Linked DNA regions of Alligator mississippiensis. The protein of the gene in region 1 purifies or fractionates together with the protein of each later gene. This does not show direct contact. Links are inferred from orthologs where the notes say so. Each region holds a gene or a part of one and is shown in the gene's direction. Other genes may lie near its edges.

Evidence for each region.
Region 2: the proteins of SLC34A2 (region 1) and ENDOD1 purify together in Homo sapiens (co-immunoprecipitation; 3 studies listed by BioGRID and IntAct, counting the BioPlex papers as one, with this or other methods). This does not show direct contact. The link is inferred for Alligator mississippiensis from reciprocal best matches to the Homo sapiens genes SLC34A2 and ENDOD1.

The regions. Positions count from the first base shown.
Region 1 is NC_081825.1:39,606,054-39,617,982, forward strand, and holds the start of SLC34A2 (sodium-dependent phosphate transport protein 2B), read left to right. Parts: upstream 1-5,924; 5' UTR 5,925-6,032; intron 6,033-11,929. UniProt on the Homo sapiens protein: Involved in actively transporting phosphate into cells via Na(+) cotransport.
Region 2 is NC_081824.1:447,176,369-447,188,535, reverse strand, and holds the start of ENDOD1 (endonuclease domain-containing 1 protein), read left to right. Parts: upstream 1-7,459; 5' UTR 7,460-7,713; coding exon 7,714-8,007; intron 8,008-12,167. UniProt on the Homo sapiens protein: May act as a DNase and a RNase. Plays a role in the modulation of innate immune signaling through the cGAS-STING pathway by interacting with RNF26.

The DNA.
Region 1 (11,929 bases):
GTGGCAGCAGTGTGGGGTGGTGGGTAATGGGTGGTAGCAATGCGTAGGGGATGCACAAGGGTACACGTGGACCCCCTGAGGGCGCTAGTGCACCCTCTAACAGCCAGCACTCTCCGCTTAGGTGACAGGCAAGGGGGCAGACGGGAGTGCCCTGGGAGCACTAGCTGGGGAGTGGGAGCACTGGATGAAGCACCGCAGCCACTTCTGAGAGTGCCCTGGCCACTTTTGGTAGTGCCACGGCTGCTTCCCGTTCGGCACAATCGACCGCGGAGGGACTCCCCCCAGTCAGCGAGATTGGCCATGGGGGAACCCCCAGGTCACTGGTGGGGCACATGCCCCCACTGACTAAGGTGGCACCAGTTGCCCATGGTGGTAGCGCTCCGTCCCCACCTGCCCTCCCCACCCATCATTCCTGACAGGCAATTGACTAGTCTTGTATATAAAGCCTGGGGTAGATCCAGAGGAGATGTGGTTGTTGCAGTTGCACCCTTTTTAGACCATGCCACTGAGCAGCAGCCAGGGATGTTTAAGTCCCCAATGCAGGTAAGAATTTCCCCTTCACCCTGCTGAGTGGCACGTCCCTTCTGTATCTATTCCCTCTCTCACCTGCCCACTACTGCCCCTGTCCCCCGCTGACCTGAGGGTAAGGGAAACTCCAGAGATGCTCCTGCTCCTCCCTAGCTAGGGTGCATGGGGAGTCAGGGACCATGGCAACAGCAGCAGTGGGAAAATTCCTCCTACATGCCCAATCCCCTTGCATGTGCCTTACCAACCTGCGAGCAGGCTCAGAGAGGGGGAACCCATCTGCCACCACCATCCCTGCTGCTGTCCTTGTCTGAGCTTCCTTCACAGCCCAGCTGGGATGGGGCAGGAGTAGCTGTGGAGCTTCTCCTGCCTTTGAGTCAGCCAGGGACAGTAGCAGTGCAGGGAAGAAAAGAAGGACAATGAGAGAAGGGAAGTGCTACTGAGCATGGAGAGGCAGGGTAGGGAGTCAGGATTCTTACCTTATTTGGGAACTTAAGAGCTGCCTATAGATGTGCTTGTTCACATTCTAATTAGAAAGCTCCAGTGTCACTTTACCTTCATGTGTATTAAGCCCCACCACATTTCAAAATGTCCACAGGGGAGCTTTAACTAAATTCTGTCAAATCAGCTTTAGTTAAAACACCCCTGTGGCCATTTTTAAACACAGGGGGGCTTCATACACATGACGACGAGCTGGTTTAATTAGAGCAGCTGTCTGGTAGCCACTGTAATTAAAATGCCCCCCCACCACCGAGCACATGTACAGGCAGCCAAAATGTCCCTGGCTGCTGTTCCCATGGTGGTCTGCCCACCCCAGTGGAAGGGGTATAGTCTGAAAGTAGGTGGTGCAGCTACCCCTGCAGTTCCAGTTGCTGCTCCTTCCCCCCCACCCCCTGCCCGCTTTACAAAATGCTGGATCTGCCTATGCTTATAGCCAACATTTTAGTGTGTTTGTAGATACCTGAAAGAATACATCAAGATACAATAATTTAACTATATTTATCCAATTTCCAAACGCAGATCAGCAGCCAGATTTTGCCAGGATATGTTTCAATGGACATTGTGGGTTTCAGAGTCCCTGAATGCATCAGATGAAGTAGGTTGTACCCAATGAAAGCTCATGACTTTCTGAATGAGTTAGTCTGTAAGGTGCCACCTGTTCTACTTTCTGCCTTCCTTCATATAGTGAATGTATTTTTTCTGATTAGGCCATTAACAGTTAAGTGATATATTGTAAGAGAGGTGATTATTCTCTCTTTTTTGAGCTAAATATGTTGATGAGGAATGCCATGTCTGTTAGGATCATGTCTTTTGATACTACCACTGTGACCTTATATATTAAGATTGACAAGTAAATGCCATGTGTTTTTAATTATATTTTTAGTACATACAAGATATGCATTAAATACTTCTTAGGGTTAAGAGTAATTTAGGTTCATAGTTATGGCAGGAGATAGTTTTAGGGTTGTTTTACTGAATTTTAACTTAATATGACATATGTTTTTCTCCCTAATGAGTTATACTCAGAAATGAATATTGCTCCATGGAGACTTATGGGGCTTGTCCCAAGAAGTGTGCACATGCATTTGCAGCGCCTCAAACCCCTTTTGAGGCATCAGAGACCGCACATGGCACATGTGCACCTGTTCACTGTGCTACTGATTTCCAGTGCAGCAGTTTTGTTTGACACTGGTAGATCCTGGTGTAAAAAAGGAAACCTGCTGCTAAAAAAAGCAGCGCGGTGAATGCAGCAGCAGCGTACACTGCCAGAAACAGAGCCTGACTGACCAGTCACACTCTGGCTGCTGACCAGGTGCTGAGTGACTGGCCCCTTGCTGCTGCTGCTCCAAGAGGCCCCCAGGACCTCAGGTGAGGCTGCTGGAGCCAGCACAGGTGGCCCCAGCCTCCCCTACCCCACCTAGATCAATTTTCCATGTGGTGGAGTGCACACACAGGGACGTTCCCAGGGACAAATAGCAGCGGCACACCCCTGCATGTATGCATTCATTGGAACATGCCCCATGGATTTGCATTTGTGACCCTCTCAGCGTTAGACATTTACATTTCAGTTCTGTTTGGGGGCATCATGGTGGAGAGATTGAGCTTGTTGTGTTATGTTTGTATGTTGGACAAATTTCTTATATATGCAGTAGCTTCCTGTAACATATAACAGTTATGGTGTTTTGAAAGATCACAGTTTTCAATTTATATCTGCATTGAATTTTTGTGAAATAGGTGAGATAATAGAGGTTGATTTTCCTGCCAAATACAGTACCAAGGTATTTCAGATAGTATCTGTCTCAGTAGGGCTCTTGTAGGAAGCCATGCCTATAAAGGGAGTTTGGTTGGTTTATTAAATATTCCCTAGCTAAGGACTTTTTTTTCCTACTCCTTTGATATTAGGTCATTTGCTCCTCAAAGGTGTCTGCCTCAAAGTGAGCAGCAGGTGATAAAAAATTAAGAATAGTAACATCTCCTTCCAGGTGTCTTCCCGTTCTTTATAACCCATCCCTATTTCTTATCAATCATAGCTAGGACCTTGGACTGTAGCATAGCTGCCTTGGGGAGAATTCCCAGCCTGTTCTCTTCTGCTGGAAGATAGTGTGAGGTTGCTCATATGAGTAATAGCAACCTTGATCCCTGGCTACTGAGAGGAAATGTGAGTTGCAGCCCTTCCTGTCTTTGGGTATTACTTAGGGGCCCTCAAACAGGTTTCATAATACATTTCCTAGAATAGCAGGTGGCCCTCCTGAAACCACTGCCTTTCTGCCAGTGACAAACTAACCCTTCCTAAAGGTATTTTTCCTAGAAAAGTATATTGATGCAATAGAGTTCCCTTCCTGTATGGCCACTAGGCCTATTATAGCACTGTTCTGTGTATAGCAATCAGAACAAAGCATCTTGAATAAAAATCAACTACTTAGGGAGTCTTCACATACCTGTTTGAAGGATGACAGTGTGTTTGAAACATGTCTAACAACTGTCTCAATGCCCAAACTGCGTTTTGTGAATAGCAAGCAAGAGAACAGCAAGCCATATATACTTCCAAATGTAACCCATTTATTTTCATTGTAGGACATCTATTACAAGAGTTGCCTTTTTTTCTATATCATTTTCTATATCATAAAAATGCTTTCCTACCATGACAAGTGACGCTGTAAAAATGTCCTGGTGGATTTCCAATGTATTTTTCTCATTTATTCCCAATTCTGATATTCTCATCTTAATAAGATTTTTGTTAAAGGCCATCTCTGAAAGTTTCATCTGTAAGAACCTACCAAATTCATGGTGGAAGTGGGCTGCATAGCAATCCTTTAATCTTACATGTTCCCCCATGTGCCGCCCTGCTGATGGGTGGAGGGACCCCACCACTTGCTCCTGATCAGCAGAGAGGAGAAAACCGCAGTATTAAATATGGTGCCATTTTTGCCTCCCGGCCAGTCAGCAACAAGCAGCAGGGCCACTGTGGCCCCTCAGCCAATCAGCAATGTGGGGAGGGGGGAGTACGGGGGAACCTGCAAGATTAAAGGAGTTGCTGCATGGCCCACTTCCACCGTGAATTCAGTAGGTTCCTCTTCATCTGGGAAGCAAGAGCCAAGCTGAGGATTTTTTTTTTCAATTTGTTTATCATCTTCCTTAGTAAGAACCTTTGGACTTTTGGTTATGCCCTTGTAGCCATGTGCAGGCATTATTTTTCTACTGGGAGAACAAACTTTCATTCAGTTTCTCCCTGAGGGAAACATGCCCCCACTGGGAGAAAATTTTTGAGGAAGAAACTCTCCTGAAAAAATGAAAGCCGGTATGCTTCCCGCCCAGAATGGCCTGATCCCGGGGGGAGTAGAGCAGTGGGGCAAAGTCCCCCCCCCTCCCCCCCCAATTCCTCATGCCAGGGGCTCCAGTCTGGAGAGTAGGTCAGAGGTTTGCCCATTGCTCCCCCACTCAGCTCCTGTTACTGGGAAGAGTTGGGGAGCAGCTGATCCTTGCCCCTCTGCCCCCTCCTTAGATTGGGTCCTAGGGTTTGCCTTGCTGCTCCATTCCCTTCTTGGACCCTTCTGGGAGGGGACTGGAGCAGCCCCTGAAGCGCCTTTTCTACACCCCAGAATGGGTGGAGGGCTTTGCCTCTCCAGTCCAGGAGGAGACTGGAGCAGCCCCGGCTCCCCATGCCTTGACTGGGATCACCCCAGCTGGGGAAGGCATGGAGAGAAGGGAAGAGAGGGTGGTTGCAGGCTTGCTCCCTCTCCCAGAATGATTTCTAGCAGTAGAAGTTTCTGAGAAATTTTCACCATGAGAAATTAACTCCTTTTTGAGGCCATATTCTCCCAAGTAATACTCAGTGCTACTGGTGTCAACCCAGAGCCTCCCTGGCCAGGCTGCCCCAGGGTTAGCACATAAGAACTTAGTAAATGGTTCTGTTGATGTGGTACAAAAAGAATAAGATCTGCTTGCATCTTTGCTGTGCTGCCAGGGCTAGCAGGAATGAAAAAGCAACAGCCTTATTTTAGTCAGGAAAACATGAGAGAAGACATGACAATGCACAGAGAAGGTGAAGCTTTTAGTTAAGATGCCTCTATGGAGTCTTTTTCCAGATGGACCTGAGAGCAAATGGGTCTGGACAACAAAAATTCAAAGAGAATAACACTGCAGTCTTTGTGGCTTGGTCAGTACCCCAGACTTCCTGTGCACCTACCCCTGTATAGTAGTCAGCAGTGGTAGTGGCTCACTTTCGTACTTGTCATTTGTTTGTATAGGTCATGAATCTTTAATATCATACTGAGCTTATTCGTACCTGTTGTACTACTTGCTAGCCTTCAGGATAAAATTACCAGGAGCACTCTTATATCTTTAAATCTCTTTTATTTGAGAGCCAGAGTAGCAATGGCCAAAATGCTAATGATCTCTGTAGCTTCTTTTTAATTGTAAACACTGGGCACTGATAAGAATGAAAACTTCATCCTTTGTTCTGAAAGAGGTTCTTACAGGTTTCCTAATTAGACCATTTTTTTTATCTGATTCTCTGTCACTTTTCTTCTGAGGCAGACAAATAGACAGTAGGATAGACAAATGGACAGATAACAGCACCATATCCCTGTCAGAACTCTATTGATCAATTTTTGGTATAAGAAGACGTTTTTGGAAGACATTTATTAGAAAGACGACTAAATGACAAAGTGGCCAGCAGTTTGTCAGAGTGGAACAAATAATTCCACGTTACTCAGATGAACATATTAGCAACTCTTATTGATGATGGGACATTTCCTAGAATATGATAAGTGTGAAACAATTTGAGGTTTTATTGCTGTTGGTTGCTCTCCACTTCTGCTGAAAAGAGCTGATTGAGATCATTAAGCTGCAGGTAGGCAGTGCCTCTAGAGTGTAAGATAGGAATGTGTGTGCGCGCTGGTGACAGCAGACTTTGCTCAACACCTTCCTCTCTCTCTCTATAAATTGCAGGTTTCAGTGGATACCTGGCTGATCTGTTCTCACTGTTGTTGGGGAAGAAAGAAGTGGTAAGTAAAAGCAACTCAGGCAAACTTCCCTTTTTTAAAAACTTTAAAGTAATTTGTATGTTAAGTTTCAGACTGTTTTGCAGGTCACATGAAATAGCAGCAGAGAGATAAAGTAGTGGAATTGGAATTGTACTTCAAAGTATAGTCAAAGTTTTAAATATTTTGGAGGGTATCTTTTTGGTTGTATTCCCTTAATTTTTTTAAAACGCCAAAATTAAAATTGATTATAAATGCATGCCACTGTAAATATCTTCTACAAGGAGGACAGACTTTTTCACATAGAATTCGAAAGTCGAGCTAAGAGGTATGTTAGCAGTGGTAAAGAATCAAAAGTACAATAACTGCCTGCTGTATCAGGAAAAGTATTTAGTGTTTTACTTTCTTTAGAAAACAGAGAGTTTAATCAGAAATAATCAGTAGGATCGGATGCTGAAAAATGCCTAAGCTGCAATCAGTGAAGCATCAGCAGTCATATGTTACTACATAAAATCGTACAAAAGGGCTATGTAAAACATTATTACACTAACAGGCTATTCCAAAACCAAACATTTTTAATGTTAATTCAGTTTAATGCACTGAGGAAAGAGGAATACATTAGTCTAATAGAATCGGCTGAATTAATGTGACAGAAGACAGAAATTTGACTGATATTGGAGTTTTCATTAGTGGCTTTTATTAAGTCAATAAAACTTTTCAATGCTGTTCAGTTTCTTTTCTTGAGATTCTTTACCAAGTCCCTCAGCCTAGGTATGGGGGCAGGTATCCATTTTAATTATATTGTTTTCTTGTGGTGAAGAACTTTTTTCCCGTTCCATTCTAAAGAATTGTACCACTTGTTACTTTCAGATACATTCCAGATTATTCACTGAAATCGTGGTTGATATGGTTCTGTTAGCTAGAGTACTGGTTGTGAATGGATAGATATTGGCAACAAGTGGATATTGTGAAGTATTTGCTTTATTTCTGCACTGGCTTAGACATTCATTTATTTACTAGTGTACGCTGTTCTTGGTTTGGTTTTGTTTTTTCATGGTTTAGATTCAGTTCTGTGAGACAACCAGAGATCTAAGGACTCCAATAAAATAAAATATTTATATATTAGCAACTGTATTTAGCATTTGTCCCCTGCACTTTCCCTTCCACAACAGAGAGGTTTGATTAAAAACATTACATCCTGGTTAAACTTGGTAACTTGAATGATACAAATAGTCCTATTGGAGTGATGATAGCTGAAGCAAAGAAGAAACTTGCCCTTAGCACAGTTGAATCATTGCTTGTATCTGTTATAATTATTACCTGTTCTCTCACATTTATGGCAATAGGGCGGTAATGCTATGGATCCATGTCCTCATCTTGTCTAAACTGGTTAGTTAACTTCAGTGGTGCTACTCTAGTTTATGCTGACTAAGAACCTGGTCACCTATAAGATGTGAATTTTATCTCTGGTTATGTGTTTTGAAGTTACACATATTGCACGCATCTTCAATATGTATGTGGAGAAGGCCTGAGACATACCTATTCACTAAAGTATACTTGTTGAAATAGTATGAATGCAAATAGAGCTGAATATCAGATGAGCTGCAAAAAAACCCAACCAAACCCCCCCCCCAAACCCCAAAACTTTCTGAAATAAACATCTACAACGTGGATAATAGCAATAATGCACTGCATTTTAGAAAAGTAAAAGAAGCGAGAGAGTAGCCTGCTTGAAATGGATACCTTGCTTTGGAAACTGTTTGATGGGTCTGGAAAAAAATTTACATGCATGATAGTCTAGCTATTCACTGGGTTTATTAATGGTTGTATTTGAAGTACTGGTATATGGTTCACATAGAAATCCTATTTCTTCTCACTTCTACTTTGCAGTTTCCATGTAATTTTGATTTTCTTAATACTATTGCTTCACATTACTTGTTTCAAGTACAACTTGTCCTTTCACTGAACTGTCATGGATGGAAAGATAAAAACAATACTGAGTACACATGTGCAGTTGGTAGTTTATATCCCTTATGTTAAGTCCAGCAAAATAAGTGACTTGTGACTATTTTAAGGTGAAATAGAGAATTATTGAAGGTTTAGGTCTGTAAAACAGAAAAAAGTAGTAATTTCATGAGTCACTCAGGAATGTAATAGTCCCAATACTGCTTTAAGTCTCTATGGGCGCTGGAGTAGGGATTGCGCATCTTTTATAATTAAAGGCACCCAAAAATAGTGAGCACTGTTGGAAGCAAATAATAAATAATAATAAAGGAGAAGGTCAAGAGTTGCAACCAAAGGAGCACACACTATGGCATGTGAGGATTTATTGCATCATTCATTGAGACAGACTGGATTACAGTTTGTGTGGGCATTAGTTTTCAGACCTTTGAAATGCTAATTTCATATAAAATGCATGGAATATTTTGACCTACCACTTAAAAAAAGAGAAAAGGTGTGTGGGGGGTGGGGGGTTGCTTCCATTTCAGAGCTTGCATCAATGTAGCACTGAGGTGACAGCCACCTAAAGTAGCATTGACAATCATGAGTTATGTGTTCTAAAGTAAATTGTTATTGAGGATTATGATCTTGATTCTCCACTATCTTGCACTTTGTATATCAGCATACAGAGGATCTAAAATGCTACTTATTCTTATGCTCAGGTGCAAGGGAGTAGAGTATATGGTTATGATCCTGCTTTTCAGCTGCTTTTCAGTGCTTAGGGTTTTTTAATGAATATTTTTCCTCAAATATTAATGCTTTCCTTTGGGGAAAATAGTTGTCTTTGAAAGGAGCGCTTTTGTGATAATACCTGTTACATGTTGGGGATAGATATATGCTATAACAATAGCAAGAAGCTGTGGGTTAAAATTCTAATAATCAGTCTGACTTGTGGCTAAAAGTTACTCTTCCCACACACTTCACAGGGTTAAGTTGTCATCTTGCAGGGTTGCTTCCAGAAATCCACATGTTTCCATTGTCAAAGATCCTTGATAACATTAGCCAATCTGCTTTGGCTGCCAGAGTGATATTTTCCTGGGAAGCACAGATGCTGAAAGTAGTTAGTTGTAGGGACTATGGTATTCAAGCTGTACTTGCCAACACAAAGTTTGATCAGGACTGAAATTGATTATTTTTATATGTATTGATCTTATTTTATATATCTATATAGCACCTCTGCCCTGCCTCCAAAGGTACTTTGTATTGCCAAGATAAGTGAATATTCTAAAATAATAATAGTAATAAAAACATATGACCTACCTGTCGGTGTCTAGACATCATAGTGTTAATAAAAATCTCATGAAAATATTTTCTATCCAAATGCTTCAGTTCGGAAGACTTAGTTTAGGGGGAAAAACGCTTTCATTAGATGGAATTTTCTAATCCGTATTTATCACACCAGTTCAGTTTTCAGGCTGCTTCTGTAATAGGGGAGGTTAAGCCCTTGAATTCCATCTTGAATATGGATGTAGGAAAAGAGCTGTAAATGTATTAAGTGGTGTGTTAAACCCATCCCAACCCTGAATTTCAGATGCTTGCTTATAGTTGCAGTTGATTTTAAGACGACTATTACTAAGCACTTATATCATTCAAAACTCTTTTAATGCTGAATGTGTGCAAGGGCAACTTGTTTAACAAGACTGAGTTCTTCTGACATGGGCGGGGCCTTGAGGTTGTTTGGACATGAATGACAACATGAGAGTTGCTCTGAGCAAATGGAAAAAACACTGTTGAAACCAGCAAGTGATATTCTTAGCTGTTTAAAGATCCATCTCTATGCACCTTCCAAGTTGCCATATCCACTCTACTGATGAAATCCTGCACATTATAGTTGTGTAATAGCTTCCTTGTTGCTAGCAGAATTCTCTCAACAGGTATGGAAGAGGAATATTTTTCTTATAAAAATGCCACAAAACTGTACTATTGACTATTACAATAGGCTTTGAGCGATCATGCTATCTGACATTCTCCCTCAACCATGGGCTACACAATAGGAGCATAATTGGTGACTAATGGGGGCCACCTAAGGGGCAACCCTGTTCCAATATCGGACCTAGATATTAGCCCATTAAGTGTGGGATTAAGTACTCTTCTTTCAGTGGATGCTGTTCATGCTTGAATCTTGTTTATAGCACAATAGCAATCTTCATACTGGCTTATTGGGGCCTTATCTTAACTGACATAGGGATCCTGCTGGTGGTGAACATTTTACCCAAGTTCTCCCACTGTTGATTTACTGTGGATGCCAACCAGTGCTGGCCTGTGAAGAATCAGCAGGGTAGACCTGTCACTACTGCTTTTATCCCCCTATCATACAAACTTGTTCACAGTAAGGTACAATAGATAAAAATGCCTATACTAATCTAAATTGGGACTCCCAATAGTGCTACCTAGGGTAGACCTGCAACAGCGACAGTACAAATGTAAGGTATTTCCTGAGAAAGGCTAGTGAAAATGCAGCCTAAGGGAGCAAAGGACCTTTGTACCAGAATTTTTCCCATTGTTGTTACCACTATTTTCTCTTTTCCTGTGACTTCAATTCTCAGAGTATTACTGTAGACAGAAGTGCAAGTCCTCCTGACATTTGAACATTGTAGGCACACCCACACATGCAATTAATGTGGCCAAATACAGTCTGGTGTAGTTCATACCAGAGTTTATTGCTCCTGGGCACTGCATTTACATGTGTACCCGGGACTGCAGCATGTTAAGCCAGGTTGGAGCAGCCCTGGATGGCAGAGGATCCTGGGGGATAGCCTGCTAGCTGGGGCTGCTTTGACCTGGCTCAACATGCTGCGGAGGGGCTGATTGGGGCACAAGGAAGCTTCAGTGTGGGGCTGGCTGGCAGGAAGCCACTGCACTGAAGTACCATCATGCCCCAGCCAGTCCTGTCAGTGTCTAGATGTGTGTTGCAGTGGAGTAAATAACTCCACTGTAGGATAGTACTTGTGTCTGGCAGTACTATCCTATAGTGGAGTTAATTAGTTTACTCCATCCTAACAGTACTGCACGTGTAGACAGTGACATTTTACTGTGGGGCTAATTAGTCAACTCCACAGTAAACGTCTCATGTAGACATGCCCTGTGTTATTTACCTATCCAGAGCAGGGCAATACAATAAGTAACTTAAAATCCTAGGCACCTCCCTAGGCTTGCCTATGCTCTCATTGGGTGACCACCGGTATGGCTCAAGTGGTAGTAGTAGTGAGGTTATATGTTAATAAATATTTTCCAAGGTAGACAAAGCTTTTGGAAACAACTTCCCGGAATATCCTTGTTTGATGATGGTCCTCTTCAAAACAAAAACTTTGCTAGAAAAATGTAAGCATGTTATGCTAAATAGACTCCAGCATGATTGTTTTCTTACAACCACCTTATATCGCTATAACTGTGTGTGGCAAAGCAGTGGCATAGCTGCAAACCCCTTTTGCATTGGACTACACCATGGGAGCTGCCAGAGACTTTTTAAGCCCTTTAAGGAAGTGACAATTCCCCTTCCCTCATCATTCCCCCTCCCACGCCTGCTGTTGTTGCTTTCCCTGCTGTCCCAGGGGTGGGGGAAGCACCAGAGCTGTTGCTGTCCACCCCAGCCAGGCTGCATGTGGACTGGGTTCAGCTGGGAATGGGGAAAGCAGCAGTGTGGGTGGGTGGGGAGATCCCCTTTCCCAGGCCTGCTTCTAGGGGATGGGGCAGGGAGGGGAGGACTACTGTTCTGACCTGCTGTTGGCACTGTCCCCATCCCCAGATGAGCCCTGTCCTGGTACAGCCCAGCTGGGATGGGCACGAGCTGCTCTGCTGCTCTCCCAGCCCTTGGAACAGCGGGGAAAGCAACAGCGGCAGCTGGGGAAGTGGGGAGGGAAAGAGAAGGAGAGGAGGGGTTTTCACTTGCTTTAGGGACTTCATAAAGTCCCTGGAGGCTC
Region 2 (12,167 bases), on another chromosome or scaffold:
TCTTTGGGTAAATGTAATATCTTTCATTAGACCAACTAAATAGTTGGAAAAATTGTTCTTTGCAAGCTTTTGAGTCTCTAATGCCTGAAGAAGGGTTTGTGCCCAAAAGCTTGTGAAAAACAATTTTTCTAACTATTTAGTTGGCCTAATAAAAGATATCACATTTACGCAAAGAACCTTGTCGGCCTATGTTGTAAGTACTGCAGAGACAAGGCCAAAGATGGAGCTGTGAACAGAATATGCTGAGAATGCTGATGTATGGTCGGGGCAGGAATGTTTTGGAGTGCAACAAGTGCACATTCTTTAAGTAATCAACTCCTCCCCCACCACCCTCTGCTGCAGTTCTCCTTGTCTCTTGTGATTCTGCCTACTTGCTGCAAAATAACCCATTGCAGTCCTTACACAGCAGTATCTGAGACTGCTATTGCACATTAGATCCAAAGTGCTTCACAGAATGAATACACCTGCTTTTGCTGCTGAGGTGCAGGGGGACAACCAGGGAGTTCACAGTGCACAGTATCACAGGATCATCTCTGCCTAAACCAGGTTTTGTTTTCATGTGACCTCCACTATTTCCAATGGGTTTAGACTGGTGATTCTCCACCTGGGTGCCACGCCAACCTAGGGTACCTGGAGATCCTTTCAGAAGTGCTACAAAGTTAGCACACAATGTTAGTACTGCTAGGTGTGCAAGTATGATTCACAAGATAAACTCAAAAGATTTCAAATGGAAATCTACAGTTGTGGCTTCTGAGTGCTTTGCAACAGAAACGCCTCCCCCCCCCCCCCCTCACTCTATTATTTTTCTGTAGTAAAAAAAAGACTGAAAACTAAGAGCTGGCATTTCCTAAGGGCTGTCACAAGTATATTCAGGAGTGCCTTGAGTCTAAAAAGCTTGCGAACCACCAGGTTAGATATTGCACATATATAAAGCACTAAGCCATTGCCTCAGGCAGTCCTAGTCCTGCTGCTGTGTAAAGTATCTGAGGTCCTGGGCAGATAAACATGCACAGTGGTTTACTTGGAATTATACTGGTGAAAAAAGCACTGTGTACTATGTAAATGCATCGCCTTGGGGCTTGAAAAAAGCCTGTGTACTTAGGATATGCACCCATCCAAACGTAATATAAGCAATGCTTTTTAAGGACCCAGGGCTGTTACTAATGTGTTATTAGCAGCCTCAAACCTGATTACCTGCTGACGTTTCCAACTTGATAGGTCTGGTGCTACTATTAGCAGCTTTGATAATGAAGAAGGCTAGTCATGTGAGGCACTAATATCATAGTGTTGAGAGTGCTGTGTCCTTAAAGAGCACTGGTTACAGCTCTGTCTGTGCGGTGATACCAGCAACCCCAAAACTGATAAGCTCCCCTCATTTTCGACGGTCTAAAGCAGCCCTTTGACAGCTGCTTCCCTTTCACTGTTTCTGGCCCAGGGACTGCAATTAGTTACTAAGGAGACCCTGACAGTTTAATTAGTGTGCAACTAAGGAGACAACAATCAAGTTACAAGGTAGTTGGGCTGAAAGATTCTGTGCACTTAAGCAGTTTATGCACTTAACTGATATGCACTTAACCAGGCACTCTCTTGTGAGATGAGAAACATGGCTCCAAATCAGGTGGAGGAAGGATCTGAGACCAGATAGGCGAGTGCTCCAACTACTGATGCTAAAGAGAGATAAGGGATGCCTCCTTTCCCCCGCAACAGGCTGGCCTGGTTTTGATACCTTATTCCAAGAGGGAGGTTCATGCCTATGAATTCTGAGAAAAGTCAGTTTTCTAGCTCTTGGAGAGATGGGGATTAAAACAAACCTCTTGTCCTTTCTCACTAGCTAGCTTAATGGGTGCTCCACTCAAGTGTGCTGATTTTTTTAAATACTGTTCTTAATAGCATTCTTAATACTATTCTTGACACTCTGAACCAGTGTCTATTAAAGTTCTGCTTGAATTGTATAGGGAGCCTAGGTGCAAGACTACAAGTCTTCCCTGGCACCCAAGGATCCAACAGTGCTCCTAAGGGCCTGTGTGAGTCTAGCCTGATATTCTTTAGGAGCCTGTACTAGATCCAGCTTCCCACACTAGCTGCACAGTCAAACAAAAGCTGTTGTTTCACAAGGCGATAGAATCAAATGGTTAAAGTGGCATGTGGCAGTAATATGAACACCGAGAATCACAGAATCACAAAGTGGGAAGGGACCTCCAGGGTCACTAAGTCCAACCCCTCACTTCAGGATACAGGCGTCAACATCGGACCGATTCCTCCTTCAGATCTTTTACACTGCACTGCTATCTAATCAGAGGTTCCTCCTCCAAAGCCACATGCCAGACCTCAAGTTCTTGTGCGTGTGAATTAACCTGTCAATCATATTTTGAAAAATCATATTTTTAGTCAGAATTATTTCCCATCTTCCTCTCAGTTCCTTTGGATAAAGTCATTGTCTCTCCTATGTGCTTTTAAGAAGGAATAATTTTCATAATATAAAGGTACCTTAACAAGTGATGGTAACAGAGAATTATACATCCATATGTAGCCCAGGTCAACAAAGCCCAAAGCTATTACAGTTCAGTGGCAGATGGGCAGTCTATGCGAAAAACACTATAAAGACACAAGCCTACCAGCTCCTTATTAGCTGTCTCAATAGCAAGGCCAAGCACTGGGTGGACCACAGAGCTTGAATTAGTCAGTCAGCTGTACTTGGCAGACGGACAAGATTCATGTGTTTACAGGAAACCTGCAATCCAGTAGTTCTCACTCTGTGTACTATGACTACTCAAGTGGCCTGAAGACATTCTTGGCAGGCCCATGGCATAAAACATTGCGAGAACCTTGTAACAGGACTTTAGAAGACAAAGGGGTCCATACTGAGAATATTGTCCTTTACAAATTGCCCCATGTACTGAAAGAGCTAGAGAAGGACTGATATAATCGCCTGAAACTCATCACGTCCATCAAACAGTGCCCCTCAATGTACCTTCTGATACAACCCTCTTCACCCCTCTTCCCAGAAGTATGGCTACCTAAACAAACATCAGGAAGTCCCAAGGTGTGGTACTAATTGCCTGTTGATTTAAACTTTTGGATATTGCCAATGGGTTTTGTTGTCTCCCACACCCTTCTGAGATGCCTTAGTCAGGGTATCTCTGTGCCTCTATTTCCCCTCCCTTCATTTGTCTCTTGTCTATGTAGATTGCAAGGGACTCTCTCTCACAAAGTGCTTATGCAGCAACCAGCAGAGTATGACCTCAATCTTGATTAGACCTTTTGGCAACTTTGGTGATGATGATTCACCCTCACATGCAAAGTGCGAGCTCACTACCTGGGAGGATTTACTTCCTACCTACAGTAAAAAGGTTCATCCTCATTCACACAATCCAGAAAGTAGAAAGCTGCTCAGATATCTAAGCTCCTTGCAAGGAGTCTGCTCAGTGTTGCTTATTCCTGTAACTCCTGAACTTTCTCCTTGCCTCATATTTGGCCTTGACACCCTGAACCAGTGACTATGATCCTTGAACTTGCCAGATACCTGGGCTCTTCAAACTGTTGTAATATCAGAACAAAGTCATAGTAAACAACAAAGAGCAATAAACATCAATACATGGAAAACAGTGCTGGAAATAAAGTATAAAGTACAGAACAGAATAAACTTAGGGCCTGAAGAACTATTGTGGTCATGGAGGCTGATTGTCTAATCACCAAGGAGTTCCTGCAGCAAGCCCATTGTGTCTGGCTCAGCTATGGCATAGCCTTAGAGAAATCAGTCGGCCTTACTTTAAAGATGCCAAAATCCTGGAGAATCCACTCTGTTCCCAGATAAGCTATCCTAGTGATTTATTACTGTTAAAAATGGCACCTTATTGCTAGTCTGAACTCCTCTTTGCCTTTGCCTGCTAGTTCAAAGAGCCATCTACTGTGAGAAATCAACTCATTACCTATGTAAAGCTGTAATCAAATCATGAGTAATGTGAGCCTTTGTGTTTCAGTTATTATTATTCAATATTTATGTTGTGTGTTTCTATTTGTGTTGTGTTAAATGGCCCTGCTCAGGGTGACAGTCCCACTGTTCAAGCTGCTGTACAAAGCCAGCAGAAAACATGGAACCTGCCCTTGCAATCGAAGCAGACAAGGAAAACATATGAGCAAAAAACACGAACAAAACATTAATGTAGGTAAAGATTTTATTTCTCCAAGCCACTATGCACTGCAGCCTCCTTCCTCTCCCTGGACATTGCTAAGCCACTACGTTCACCTTCCATCCTTTCCATCCCATAGGAATACTTACTTCATTTTGACCCTTAACATTTTAATTTCATTTTATTTTATTAATATTGTGGTAGCAGGTCATCCAGGTCAGGGCCCTACTGTAATAGGTTCTGTATGTTCATACAGTACATGACAGTCCTTGCCCCAAAGAGCTTGCAGTCTGCTGTCCCTTTTGCTCCCAGCCCCTTTAGCTCCAATAGGTAAAATCCTTTTACTCCTGCTGTGCTCATTGGCTGAGCTTTGTGCCCCAGGTTGTCTTTTCCCAGTCAAAGCTGCAAGGCGAAGTCTAAGACATGCATGGCAGTGACCACACAGGCAGATGTGTCCTCTGACACACAGGCCTGTGCACTGGGAGCTCCACACAGCTGGGGCCAAATTCTCTGCTGCTGTTTCTACGCTGAAGCAAGTGGAATTGCAACAGCTGAGATGTTGGCCCTTGGTCTATTTTTTTCCCCTCTCATTCTTTGACAAATGGGAACAAAAATATACCATGCCAGGACCCTGTGGGAGAGGAGAAAGTATGCCAAGTCAAGTGAGGTCCCCTCTGCTGCTGGGCTTGAGTGGTTTGCAATCACATCATGAAAAACAGAGTCTCTAAAAAAACCCCAAAACAAAACAAAACAAAACAAAACAAAACAAAACAAAACATGGACACCCAATAGAGAGTGGTAGGGAGCTGGGGCTTGCTGTGGGAAAGAAGGAAAGCAAGCCTGAAAGCTTTTCAGTTGGTAAAGGACTTGGGTGTCTGGCCTGTTGTTTTGTTAAGACTTTCATTTTCCATGAACTTTCAGAGCTGTTTTTTTTCTTCAAGACATTCCTGCAGGGCCTGAGAAAGCAGGAATAGATTCTTCAAGAGCCAAAAAGACCCTCCATGAAGAGGAAGTTCTCCCTGGCAGTGGGTCATACTAATGAATGTGTTTGTGTCGCACAGTCTTTCCCCTTTACAAGCCTCTCCTCCTCCCTTCTCACGAGCAGAGGTGTTTCTCATTAGTTCTTCTCTAAACTGTGCCCTATTGATCTCTTCCTATTCCACTTCCAGTTTCGCTCATGTGGACTCTCATCCCCACCTTTGCGCTTCACAATCTCACTCTTCCCAGGCTTTTCCTCTCAACAAACATGCTTCCTATCTCTCCTATCTTGAAAAAACCCACTAGACACTAACTGAAACTGCTCTCACCAGAGTCTCTAGTGACCTCTTCTTCCTGACTCTTGATATAGTTGATCAGGCTCTTCTTGAAATGTGGTTCTCTCTTGGCTTTTGGGCAGAGGCATAGCCATACAGCTCTGTGACTGAGACAGCTGTGTGGTGCCTGGGGCAGTGCCGGCTCCCGCTATGGCAATGGCTGGTTTTGCTCCACCTCCCCCCAGAAAGGGGGTGCCTGGGGATGCTGCCCTGGTCACCCCTCTCCTACTCTCCCTTAGTTATACTACTGGTTCTCCTCCTTTCTGATCACTTGTTCCTTGTGTTCTTTAGAGGATATTCCTCATTGCCCATCCAACTGTTGTGTTGCTAGTTGTATTCATACCGCCACCAATGTAATTGATCCATGGTTATGGTTAACATTCAAAAACAGTTAAGCGAGAATAAGCCATAGTTTTGAAGCTCATGGAAATTTTAGGCACTTGAAGCTCATGGAAAATGAGATTTCAGCTCCAAAACCTCTGAGACACTTGTGAAAATTTCACTTGGATGACTACAAGCCTATAATTTCTTCAGGATCTAGTGCCTCAAATGTAGTTCCTGTTCTCCATTTCCCAGGAGCTTCTTCATAGATTTCCTATCCAGGAAGATGAACATTTTGAGCTTGTTTCTCTGCTTTGCTTGATTCAGGTCAGCTGTGTCCACATTTTCATTTCCACAATCTTTCCTGAATGTGACTAACACTATCTGTCAGGCCTCAATGACCGGTCACATGTCTGAAAACAAAACAAACCCATTTACTACATTTCCTGTTGTTCTCTAGACCTCCCAGCCCACTGCTGTCTCCCACATCTGATAATATCACAGTAAAATTGTCAATGTACTTCCTTGCTTTGGTACTTTTTGATTACATGTCCCTGACTACAGGAAGGATGGTCCTGTAGTTAAGGCTGGGCTATTCTCAGTTCTTCCAGACACTTCCTTTGCGATCTTGGGCAAGTCACTTCAACCTCTCTTGGTCTCAGTTTCATCATCTGTAAAATGGGCAAATCTTTGCCTGCTTCCTGGAACAGTTGTAAGGAATTAGTGCTGGGGATTCTTGTCTGGCAATCAATACGGCAGGGTAAAATATCATTATTTAAATGGGTTCTGATGTCCAGAAGTTTGGAGACAATATATCTGACCAGGCTCAGTCATCTTCAGCAGGAAGTCATGCACAGAGCTACATACATGTTTGGGAACCTCCTAGTTACCCCATTGTTCTGAAAACTTTCACTCCCCTTTCTCTGAAATAATATTTCTCTTAGCTGGAGAAGGAGAAAACCAAATGAAGATCCCAATGGGACAGGTAACACCTCTGTAGACTATGAAATGTAGGGAATGACTTTCATTCCAATTCATTTTTCCATTAATTACATTTTTGTCCATTATATAGATTTGGCCCAAATGTTCATAAGTGGTCACTGATTACAGCTGCTTCATTCTGGTGTATCCAAACTGCATGCCTTGCAGGAGGCTGGATGCTCAGAGAGCACTGAGTGCCTGTAGCTCTCATAAGCTTACATGCCTGCTTGGAAGGAATCTGAGCCAGGAGCTGTAAGGCCAGTGTGCATGGTTCATGCGATGCAAGTCCTTAAGGGGAGTGGGTTACATGTCCCCTTTTCTTGTGTTGCCCTACTAGAGTCAACCCCAACACAGCTGGGGAGCTGCATACCCTGCATGGCTAGCAGCGCCACCCAAAAAGGGGCAAAGAAAAGAGGATCTAGCATAATGCCAGCACCCTTCCTTTGGACACACAGGCCGGCCTGTGGCTGGATTGGGCATGTCCCAAGCCCCCATGGGTGCCAGGGTTAGCACATCAGTAGACACCCATTCAGAGCCCCAGTAAGAATTCTGGATGAGTCAGCCGAAATTCCTCCTGAGGACTCTGCTGCAATGCAGTCCCCTCGGTGCACCCTGTGGTTCTGAGCAAGGATCCAGCCTGCTCACTTGGCAATAGCCAGCAACTGAAACCTAAAAGCTGCTGCGGTGTCCCTTGCTCCTCCACACTGATCCTGATGATTCCTGAGCTATTGGAGTGCTGGTTTGTATCTGCAGTGTGTGTCAGTACTGAGCTGCGCACATCGCGTTTCACAGTGTGCTGCATGCAGAACGCATTCACTCCCTGAAGGGATCGGCTGGGGTTTCATATTTCATCTCCCTTGTATGCTACACCCGGATTCCAGTCGCTTTCTGGCTTCAGTGCTGGATGTACCCGGAGCACAGGTCCTTCCTCATATCTAGCAGTGAGAGACAATTCAAGGGAGGAGATCATGAAGACATCAATTTTATTTTTGCTTTGCCTCTTGGCTTTCCCAGGCTTTTCCCAGGGCAGGGTTGTCAGAGTGGATGAACCTGGCTTTGCTGAATGCAATGGATTCTTTTACAGAGAAACCCCCCCAGAAGGATTTACCGAGCCTTTCCATGTGAAAATCTGTCAGCGGTACAATAAAGAGCCTCGCTTTGCAACGCTCTACAGCACGGAAGACAAAACCCCTCTCTATTCTGCTTTTAAATACACAAAACCAGCCCAAAGTAGAGAAGAGAGCTGGTTGGTGGAACCACAGGTAAGTCAGCTTTTCAAATGATGGCAAAGCAAAGATTCTCAGGGGGCCTGAGGGTTAAGGGTTAAGTTACTCTGTGCTGTGACGGTTGGGATTTTGTGGGGGCAACGAAGCTGAAAAATCCTTCTGGATATTCATTTATTAAAAATAGTTCTTATTCATGTGCTGGGTGGTGGACAGACACATGACTCCTTGCCCTTTCCTGTCTGTCCTTCTGTCTAACTAGTACTCTGCACAGAGTCATTTGTGAAATCAAGCCATGACAAGGGATAATAGGGTTAAAATTTCAGTTACAGGTTTAAGTTTGTTTTGTCCCCAGTGTGACTCTGCAGCTGATAAGAGAGGGCTTTAGCTCCACTACACTGGAATAAAACAGACATCTGCGGTTTACCCAGTTGAGGCTGTGGGTATGTCTGTTGTAGATACGGTGTGGCTGGAGAGAGGGGTGGCTTATCCAATCCAGGAATATGAAGGTTTTCAGGCAAGTCAGGAATTTAGACTAAAAAACTGTTCCTGAATTGTCAGTCGCTCTTGTCTATCCTGATGTTTGCCTTGAAGTTAAGCTGATTTCCTGATGTTGTTATAGCACAGGGGTCATCCTTAACTGCCTCATTGCCTCAGAGAGCTAAAGACCTTCACTTTAATATTTGCAGTAGTCAGGGTTATGTAAGGAGTAAGTATAGGGAAGACTTGGTGACGCATGTATGTAGCCAACACTGGCATGGTTTACCCTCAATAATGATGTATATTATTTGTATGACAGTAACACCTAGAGGCTTCTGAGACCAGCGCCCTATTGTACAAGGTGCTGTACATGCATATAGGAAAAGAGTTATACTCTAAAGAGACAAAGACATTTGCTATTATTCTCAGTGTATGGGTGGCGTGTTGAGACAGGGAGGGAATGACATGGCTGAGCCAAGGTCACACAGGGAGAGCTGGAAGTGACTGCAGATATCTTGAAGCCCAGGCTTAGCCATGAACCCATCCTTCCTTGCTGCCACTGCTGGGGTTTTAATTTCTGGCTCTACCAGAAGCCCATTTATCTGTCATTTCTTTAATTTACACAGATGCCTATTGAAGGTGGTTGTTTGCTATTTAGAACAGAGCGAGGGCTTTTTAAAGGCTTTACAATTACTCAGCTGAAGAACCGTTATGAATTTTTAATAGATCCTTTTTAATCAAGGACTTCAGCAAAGGAACATCTGCCACTTGCATCACCTAGGTAGCTCTACACAATGCCAAGGGAGGAGGCCCTTGCCAGTGGCTGAGCCCCTCTGTCACACAATGCCTAGTGTTCCCACTGTCACTTCTCCCTGTGACAAACCCTCCTACAGCTCCCATCAGAGCCAAAGGCCCATCTTTCAGGTGCCAGAGCCGCCCACATGTCCCATTGAAAAGCCCTTCCTATCTGATACTCCACCCAACTGCCAAGCCCTCTTACACCTCCACCCAGTAGCAAGGGCTCTCTCAATCCAGTTTATTCACTGCCCAACCTCTTCCTTATAAGAAGCCCCAGTGGCCTAGCTTCCTGAGCACCCACTGCTCTCTCCCCCTCTCAGCTGCTAAAATTTCCTTGTCACAGTCTTTAGATTTCCTGCTTCAAAAATCAGGTCACTTTCTCTAGTGCTTCTCCCTTGGCCCCTCTTATTTTACCAGCCATGACTGCAGATTTCTGAGAAAGTGCTGCAGTGAAGAAACCACTGCATCCCTCAGCACTGTGCACTGAACTGTTTGAGACTGATTCACTGCACTCCACTCGTAGTTGCTGTGACTTTGTGCCAGTGTTGTGTCATTAGCTGCCATGGAATTGTTCAGGATTTACATCAGTGTCTGGGAGAGCAGAATCCAGCCCCACTGAGCCCTGGCTCACACTGGTGAGTGATGAACTGAGAGCCTTGGATTCCCCTTCCCTGGGCCAATCTCCTGGGAAATGTCCTAGATAAAAAAACACTTTGCAATTGCTCTAACAAGATTGCTTTGCCTGCATTTAAACGATACTCTTCTTGCTTGTGCTTCTTTGTTCTGAGTTTTCAGCCTCAACACATTCCTTAAAAGAATTTAATGTCCTGATTGAAATGACTGTCCCCTTTAAACACAAATATTAGCCCTTGATATAGAAAAGGCCACCAACATCCTGCAACCAGCATGCAGCCTAATAAAACAGCAGGGATTTCCAGGCAAAAAAAGCCTTATCTACAGAAAATATTTTTTTTAATGCAGACCACATTGATCATTGACATTAGTCAGAGCTGTGTCTGAGTAGGGATCACCATACTGTGCCCTAAAGGCCAGAAGCAATTCTCATGGTACTTTTTATTTAAGCACTTACTTGTTAGTCATGGGATGAATTGTGCTTGCAGCTACTCTATACTAAAGCATCTGGATATTTTAGAGATCCTGTGCTCTGCCTGTCTGTTTCATGACCACTATATATTTTGTGTTTCTGATTGCAGGATCTTTGGGATAGACCCTGTCATTTACTATGTGTCATGTCCATTTACCACAAGTACAATACCTAACACAAGAGGCCACCAAAATATGCTGACTTACCCACAGAGGGACAGAGTTGCAAGAATGTTAAGTTGCAAAGTCCAATGCACAACAGAGAGAAAATGCAAGAATTTAAGTTACCCGCTCAACCTTGTTTCATCCCATGCCCATTTATGCATGTGCATTACAGTATGGGCTTTAAGTACAAGATCACAGGCTGTTTCCCACTTTACAACTACCATACCAAAGGAATCCCCTTCAACAACCACTGAGATACAGCAGCTTTGTGGTGGAAGATACAACTGTTTAATATCTGTATAGAAATCATATAACAGGGAGTGGAGAAAAATGCCTGTGACATTTGATTGCATAAACCTGTGAGAAATTGGTTATTAGAATCACAATACAGGAGACTCCATTTTCCTCAATCCCACCTCTCTTACCAGCAATAAACAAGCATGAGCAAAGCAATCAGCTGCATGAGGTGTGCAAGGGAGGAAGCCAAGATGAATAATGATGAGATATTGCATCTGTTATAAGCTGTTCATATCAAAGTCAAGTCAAATCATTTGCTTTAAGGGAATCTTTGCACTGTGTACTGCCATGCAGCACATCCAAGAAAATAATGCCATCAGTTTTCCTCTGAATAACATTGTGACTGAGAACTGCGAAGTCAAATACGCTGAGAATGACAGTTAGGCATACATGCATGCTGTCAGGTGTGCTTTGTGCAGACATGCATACTCATGTACACATGAGTTGACACACACACAAACATACTGGCATAGTGAAAAATTGCACAACTTCATTATGCTCTGTGGAGTGACTAAGGGCTAGCGAATGTTATTTCATAATAGAGCATGCTGTAACTTGAAAGCGCACTTGTCTTATATAATGTCTACTTCTTCTGGAATGTATACATAAGAAATATTTGCCAAAAGCTGCAGAGAGGTTCTAACAGGATGCAAAATAAAAGGAATACCAGCATTGTCCATGACTGGCTGGCTGGGTGAGGTGTAACTATGCAGCATTTTTAACAAGGTTTAACAGGAAAGGTGGTCTAATTGTCAGGGCCTCATCCTGGGAGGAGAGAGGCAGGGCATGCTTGTTCTCTGGAGCAGAGAGCCCAGCCCAGGGCTGCAAAGCATGCTGGGATGCTGGGGGACTCTAGTTTAACTTAAACCAGGAAGGGGTCCAGGACAGACATTGCATAAACCATTTTGACCCAAATCAGTTAAGTCTGATACTACATTCAACCAGGTTTATCTTAAACCAGTTTCAACCATTTTGAAACTGGTTTATGTGCACTGAACTTATGTTCTGTTACAGGTTTAAACCAGTTTCTGATCACTTAAATCGATTTATGTGTAATGTCTGTCCCTAGCCTTGAAGGCAGAACCAGAACTAGTTTGACTCCAACTCACTTGCATAACTGTGCAGTGCACATGCAGAGCAGCATAGGTTTTTCCCTGGTTGGTGGAAGGCTGCCCTGGACTCTGGCCCTTTCCTGAGTAGCATTGCCTGCCCTAAAGCCAATGCACTGTTCCCTGCCTTCTTTTGCTTGCCTCTCTGGGTAACAATACACCCACAGGGTTGTTGTAAAGATAAAGACTAATGACTGAGAAGCACTCCGACACTATGGGATGTGAGGCCAGGCACATAACATAGGT